2 linked regions of the Saccharomyces cerevisiae S288C genome follow. The gene in region 1 interacts genetically with each later gene. Each region holds a gene or a part of one and is shown in the gene's direction. Other genes may lie near its edges. The genes, in order: PEX22 and MSC6.

What was found.
Region 2: mutations in PEX22 (region 1) and MSC6 together harm fitness more than expected from each alone (negative genetic interaction), as found in Saccharomyces cerevisiae (2 studies listed by BioGRID).

Annotation. Positions count from the first base shown.
Region 1 is NC_001133.9:40,456-43,550, forward strand, and holds PEX22 (ubiquitin-protein transferase activating protein PEX22), read left to right. Parts: upstream 1-1,721; coding exon 1,722-2,264; downstream 2,265-3,095. Other genes in the region: GPB2 (Gpb2p), read left to right, coding at 1-1,446; ACS1 (acetate--CoA ligase 1), read right to left, coding at 2,426-3,095. UniProt on the Saccharomyces cerevisiae protein: Involved in peroxisome biogenesis.
Region 2 is NC_001147.6:1,000,403-1,005,241, reverse strand, and holds MSC6 (Msc6p), read left to right. Parts: upstream 1-2,016; coding exon 2,017-4,095; downstream 4,096-4,839. Other genes in the region: GDS1 (Gds1p), read right to left, coding at 1-105; SOG2 (Sog2p), read left to right, coding at 4,414-4,839. UniProt on the Saccharomyces cerevisiae protein: May be involved in the control of meiotic sister-chromatid recombination.

The DNA of each region.
Region 1 (3,095 bases):
CTCAAGAAAAGATTATATGTGAATAACACTGGTTACATACTCGATATTATGTCGTTCAAGTTCACTAAAATAGATATCATAGTACAACCTTCCAAATATAATGCATATCCGACAATGTCATCGAGGTTTGGTCACTTACAAATTTCTATTGATAATCCAAATAGGAGAGCTAGCGTTCATTCTTCAAGCATGAACGAAATTCATAAAATGGGGAGTGCTTCCATGAAACAAGGTAGCAGCATCACTTCCGGGCGGCTTGAAAAAGCAGCAGTACTTTCATCATTACCTCATAATACTGTGCACACGGTTATAATATTTGGTGGTTACAGACAAACCGGTGATGATCGTTACGAAGCAATGAATGATTTGTGGAAGATAGAGATACCCGTGATACGTCGCGGTAAAAAAGGTTATTGTAAGTTTTCAGAGACAGCTAACGCGATACTACTGACGCCAAGCGAAAAGGACAAATCGGATTGGCCCGAAGAAAGAGCCTTTTCTGCCTTTTCTGTTCATGGGACTTCGTTAATGGATAGGAGTTCTCTTGACATGAGACTATTGAACAACTTAAAAAACCATTTTGTTTTAAAACCGTCATATATATCACAGGATCGCGTTGTTAGTCCTAAACCGGTTTTCCCCATGATGGTTCATGGCACGCATCAAGATCTTTTCAATAGTGGCTCTGCGGCACAAGAATCGCCCAAAGCTGGTGCCTCGGCCAGCAGCGCAAGTGCTGCGAGCTTTGATCCCGATATGGACGATAATTTGGAAAATTATATAGTCAATCCAGGGAGAAAATCGTCATCTATTCCAATGACTGCGATAGGGAGACAGAGATTAATTTTAAGCCAAGAGAAGCCAGTAGGTAAAACTGTTGTATTGCATGGTGGGTCTAACGGTCTCAACGTTCTTGATGATATGTGGTTGATGGACTTAGAGTGTGAGACATGGACTCCAATAGAGACATTTGCAAAGGCAGATTCGAGCGAAGACGGTGATGAAAAATTGGATAGTGTGAACGTAGGTCTCGTTGGCCACAGAATGGAAAGTATTGGACGAATATGTGTATGTATAGGTGGTATGGTACAAGAGGATGTTGACCAATTTTACTCGGAGAATGATGATGAGCCTCCTCGAAAACGCAAGGTCGATACATTACCGTTGGGTGGTAATTTTTTGAACACAATTGATTTAAGCACGCAGTGTTGGGAAGAACATAAAATTACTCTGTCCAAGAAGGAAGACGATGAGGACAGACAAGATAGCGAAAATGAAGATACAAATTCAAATATAGTAGTTGGTGTCGGTGGCACTTCTTTGCAATGTGACAAAAGTATTATTTTGATTGGCGGATTGATATCTAGACGGAGCAATGTAAAAGAAATATATTTACATGGTACCATAACGAAAAGTATTTTTCCTAGCGTAAATCCTAGTGCATAAAAAGGCAGTTTTCAATGCTTTCACTTTGTAAACTTTGTTTAGTAGTAGAATATAATATATTCAGTTTTGTTTTATAGTCACATAACACTTTGTCTTTCAAAGAATAATCTCCTTCGCAATACCAGCGAAATATTTTGGCAAAAAATTAACAATTAGGTTCATAGTCCCCTAATTCAATTAATCGAAAAAAAAAAAATAAAATATAAGGGAAGATTGTGCTGATGAAATAGACAATGAAACAATAATGAAGAATAAAGAAGAAGAAGATATAAAACATGCCACCACCATCAAGAAGTAGAATAAACAAAACAAGAACATTAGGAATAGTGGGTACAGCTATAGCAGTGTTGGTCACGTCCTACTATATATATCAAAAGGTGACAAGTGCAAAGGAAGATAATGGGGCACGACCTCCAGAGGGTGATTCAGTAAAAGAGAACAAAAAGGCAAGGAAGAGCAAATGTATTATAATGAGCAAGTCGATACAAGGACTGCCCATAAAGTGGGAGGAGTACGCCGCTGATGAAGTGGTTTTGCTGGTACCTACGAGCCACACTGATGGATCAATGAAACAAGCCATTGGGGATGCCTTTCGCAAGACGAAAAACGAACACAAAATCATATATTGCGATAGCATGGATGGATTATGGTCATGTGTAAGACGGCTAGGTAAATTTCAGTGCATATTGAACTCCAGGGACTTCACAAGTAGTGGTGGTAGCGATGCAGCAGTCGTTCCTGAAGATATAGGCAGGTTTGTCAAATTTGTTGTTGATAGCGATGTAGAGGATGTGCTGATTGACACTTTATGCAATTAATGTAGAAAAGAGTTTCTTGTAACAGTATGTAAAGAATAAATAATTATAAGTATAAATAAAAAGAGAAGGTGAAATAATAATAAGTAAGCAGCTCGGTTATAAGAGAACAAAAACACACGAAAAAAAAAAAGTCGTCAATATAAAAAGGAAAGAAATCATCATTACAACTTGACCGAATCAATTAGATGTCTAACAATGCCAGGGTTTGACAATGTAGAAACGTCGCCTAGTTGGTCACTTTCTCCTGCTAGGATTTTTCTTAAAATACGTCTCATAATTTTGCCGGATCTTGTCTTGGGCAAGTCATCCACTAAAATGATCAATTTTGGTGCGGCAAATGGCCCGATGTCTTTTCTAACAGTAAAGACCAAATGCTTCTTGATATCTTGTAATTCATCATCTGTTGCGGTGGACCAACTAGATTTGTTTTTCAACACCACAAATGCAGCAACTGCTTGACCAGTCAAGTCATCGTTGAATCCGACAACAGCACACTCGGCCACAATTGGATCTTCGATAATAGCAGCCTCAATTTCAGCGGTAGACAGACGGTGACCAGAGACGTTCACCACATCGTCTACACGACCCAAAATCCAGATATAACCATCCTTATCCTTTGCAGCACCATCACCAGTGAAATAGTAGCCAGGGTAAGGGTTCAAATAAGTGTCTAGATACCTATCATGATTTTTCCAAATAGTTCTTGCAAATGATGGCCATGCAGCTTTGACGGCAAGGACACCCTCTGCGTGGCTGGTGTTAAGTTCTTCACCAGTGTTAGGGTCAAGAACAACTGCATCAATACCGAAGAAGGGGAATGAGGCAGAACCC
Region 2 (4,839 bases), on another chromosome or scaffold:
TGTAAATCCCATTGAATTCAACTGAAATACTGGAGAATTTGAGTTATGAAGAATTTCATTCTCTAAAGTTGGTATTTGCAAAGGTCTGGAATTTGCCAATGCCATTATAAGTTCTTCTAATCAATTTTTTTATATGGTTTTTTGTCTTTTTTCGTATTTTTTTGTCCTTTTCTAAAATACTATAGCAAAGCAAAAAAAAAAGTAAAAAAAATTTGATTTATGAAAAGTTGAAATATCCTGGAAAAATTAGTTAAAACCTCCCAATATTTCTGTAGTTATTGATTGATTGCCCGTTTATTTTCTATTTTGCTGATATTGTTTCTGCTAACGTTTCTTTATATAATCCCGCTTGCTGACACAGAAGTGACTAAAATAGGGTAAAAAGGGAAATTATTACGAAAAGGGCAGTCCAAAGCAAATAAAAAACAATGGAATAGAAAATAAAAAAAATTAAAACTCAAAATAAAATGTATTCCAATGTAAAGGAAAAAATAAAATAATAGGAAAAAAGAAACTATTATTTTAAAGCCTTCAATAATGGAATGCTGAAAAGAAAAGTTATGATTTTGGTAATTTGAGTCAAATAGTCAATCAATGACTTTTTGTTTTTGGTTTTTCAGAAATAGAAATTACCAAGAACCTTAATTGATAAAAAAAAGGGGAGCTTGAAGGGAATACTGATAATACAAACAATATCGTGTAAAAAAAACCTACGTAAAAAATTAAATCAAGCCAAGCGAGAACAGAAAAAAAAAATGAAGTAAAATATTGGACTGGAATATGAAAATTTTAGAAAAAGAACTAGCCGGGATAAAAGTACAAGAAAAGGAGAAGAAGAAAAATTTTTGACTTCTCATCGCATGGGTTTTCAGAAAATTTTCTTATCAAAAATTTCATCGGGCGTATGATTTTCGTTTTTTTCTGCGTCGTTCCTTCACAAAGTATCGAAAACCCCAAACAAAAAAAATATAAAAAAAAAAAAACACCCTTGCACCCATAACATACGGCGAGATGTAAGGTAGGTATAGCAGACTTAGATATTGCGTGCGAATCAGTTTGATTCGCAAGTAAAATCTTCATGCGCATTAGTATAGAGCGTTGGAAGCAGTTAACATAGTATTTCGGTTTTTTTTCCCTTTCATAAAAAGGATTCTTCTTCCATAATCCCTTGCGTGAGTTGAATATGAATGAAACTCGTTGAACTAGTGAACAACAAGTGATTGTATGCTCATATTTAGTACTAACATTTCAGCATTGTATAATCCTTTCTTTACTTTCAGGATAAAGACATACATTCTACGTATGATCAAGAGTAAGGAACAAGAATATTAAAAAAAACGAGATGAACCTTGAGTATATATATATATATTTACACCAATGTGCCCTACGAAAATAGTGAAAAAAAAATTTCAGTTGCAACCGCGTTTTGTCCGTTAGTATCTTTTGTCCGTACACCTCGTACTAAAAAAGAAAACCAGTCCAAAAAGAAAGTCAAACGGTCCAAATCGGAAACACCGACGCTCAGCTTAATAAACATTGTGTAGAGCCAAGCGGAAAAGAATACCATTTAGCCGCCGATGCAGAAAACCGGTATATAGAGCTGAAAACAAAGATTGAACTCTCCAGACAAGTTAGAAGTAAAAGCAAGTAATATATAAGTTTTATAAGTGAATATTCGGTCGAAGGTAGTGTCAAAGTTACATCACCAAAACTACTTACTATTGAGGAAATATCAGGTGTGCCAATACGTTAATTGATCTGTGAATAAAAAACGAAGTTGGAACATTGTATTACCTTTCAAATATGCCATAAAAGGTTGCTCGTCGACTAAGTAATTAATCGATTATAAGAGGGAAAAAGCGGGGTAAGTAAAATGTAATATCATCATATACGATATACATACCGCCTGTGGAATCGTTCAATTGCTACACATGTCTAACTAAGGACGTACTGTCTATATGTTTGCTTAAGTTGGCTCTGCACAAAATAATATCAGAGCCTTCCACTGGGATACAGATGCTTTCCCATAATGCTTTAAGGGCCTTTGATTGTTCAAAGGTGATTATTTCACGAAGATGTCTAACCTCTTCAACATCGATATACCAACAAAGCAGCGTTCACTTACAAGAAACAGATGATGGACATTCAGGAAATAGAGAAAAGCACGTCTCACCGTTTGAAAGGGTACAAAATTTGGCTGCTGATTTGAAGAACGAGTTGAAAGCTCCAGATTCAGATATCAATGAAGTTTTTAATGACTTTAAAGATAAGATTGAATCGTTGAAACAGAAATTAAGGAACCCTTCACCTATGGAAAGATCACACTTGTTAGCGAATTTTTCTTCGGATCTCCTACAGGAATTAAGTTACAGAAGCAAAAATATGACGCTAGATCCTTATCAAGTATTAAACACATTGTGCCAATACAAATTGGCACGCTCACAACATTTCACGATTGTTTTAAAGTACCTTCTATATAATCAATCACCACAGGACGTTATTGCCTTATGGGTGAAGTACTTGGAAACCATTTCCGAAAACCCAGTGATCTTACTTCAAAATAGTTCTTCTCGTGCACATATGCAAAATATTGCAATTACCACCATTGCTTACTTATCTTTACCAGAGAATACTGTGGATATCAATATTCTGTATAAGATTTTACAGATCGATCGTAAAATGGGCCAGGTTTTACCTTTTAACATGATTAGAAGAATGTTAAGTACAGAATTTAGCTCTCTTGAAAGAAGAGACGTGATTATCAAAAATCTAAACACTTTGTACTATCAATACACAGTACAGGATAGTGATCATTTCTTAAGTCAAATTGAAAATGCTCCTAGATGGATAGATTTAAGGGATCTTTATGGCCAATACAATAAACTTGAAGGTGAGAAAAATGTAGAGATCATAAGCAAGTTCATGGACAAGTTTATTGATTTGGATAAACCCGACCAAGTTGTTACTATTTATAACCAGTATAGCAAGGTTTTCCCAAATAGTACGTCGCTGAAAGATTGTCTTTTAAGAGCTGTGTCGCACTTACGAGCTAAATCGAGTAAAGAGAAGTTGGACAGAATTCTAGCAGTCTGGAACAGTGTTATCAAACCAGGAGATAATATTAAAAACACATCTTATGCGACGCTAGTTAACGCACTAACTGATTCTGGAAATTTCAACCATTTAAAGGAATTTTGGGAAGAAGAACTTCCTAAAAAGTTCAAGAAAGATCCCATCGTGAAGGAAGCATTTCTCCTGGCCTTATGTCAAACTTCGCCTCTAAAGTATGACCAAGTCAAAGGGGAGTTAGCAGAGACTGTTAAAACCAAGAAGTTGTTCAATAAAGTTTTATTGCTAATGTTAGATGATGAAAAAGTGAGCGAAGAACAATTCAACACATTTTACTATAACCATTATCCATCAGATGGTGTGTTACCCCCTACTTTGGATACTCTAAGCATTAAAATGTACGCTAATTATAAATTTCAGGCAGAAGATACACGCCCACAATTCGATCTATTGCAAAGTGTTTCCATTAATCCCACCGATTATGAAAAGGTTGAAAAGATTACGAAAGCCTTTATTTCAGTGTGCCCCACTGTCGAGCCGATTCGTCAACTTTACAAACAATTGGGAACTCACTTAAATGCTAGGAATTATGCAGACTTTATTTCCGCAGAGTTTAATAAGCCTGACGGCACAGTGGCCGAGGCAAAGAATTTGTTTTCTGATTTTCTCTCATATCAAAAGACTAGAAAGAGAAACGTGGATAATACGCCTCTAAATGCTTTATTATTGGGGTTCTGTGATAAACTTTACAAGAGTAAACATAGCGAGTACGTTCCCTACATCGAAAAGTACTACAATCTAGCTAAGGATTCAAGTATCAGGGTGTCGAACTTGGCCGTTTCGAAAATTCTATTCAACTTGGCCACATTTGCACGCAATACTCAGCAGTTATCTGACAAAGAGGTTGCTTTTATTAACCAGTTTATGCGAGATTTAGGCACTAATGAGGGTTTTCGTCCCAACCCTAAGGATATTCAAATTTTAAAAGAATGTGATGGAATTACTGTTCCAGAAAAGTTGACTTAATACACTTGTCATAAGAAGACAATAAGAAAAGCTCAGAACCAATTTTCTGCACATATGATGCTGTAACTATATAATGATTTCTTGTATATAACTTCCGTATAATAGTTATTGCTTCCATGCATGATTCTTTCAAAGAACAATACAAAATAAAAATAAAAAAAAAAAAAAAAAATGAAAAAATGAAGCTACAAGTCGGGTAACAAAAAGTATTTCAAGATCTCTAAATATAAGTGGGCAAATAAAGTTAATGCCAAAACTCCATGCTACTTTTCACCTGAACTTATTGGGGGGAGTTAAGTCTATAAGTATCCGTAACGTATGGTAGCGACATCTTCAAAGAGGACGTTGGATCCGAAGGAGGAACATTTGCCTGCTGACAAAACATCCACTAATTCAAGCAACACTATAATATCTGAGTTGGCAACACAAGAGAAATCCAGCTCTAGTGGTACTACACTAAAATTAATAGCTCTTAATATCAAGTCCATATCAGATGAAGATGTGGGATATATCCAAAATGTTGAAAGACTGTCTTTAAGGAAAAATCACTTAACATCCTTACCAGCGAGTTTCAAGAGGTTATCAAGGCTGCAATATCTGGATTTGCATAATAACAATTTTAAAGAAATCCCATATATTTTGACACAATGCCCTCAATTAGAGATCTTGGATCTGTCCTCCAATGAGATTGAAGCATTGCCAGATGAAATATCATCGTTTTGGCAAGATAATATTCGTGTATTA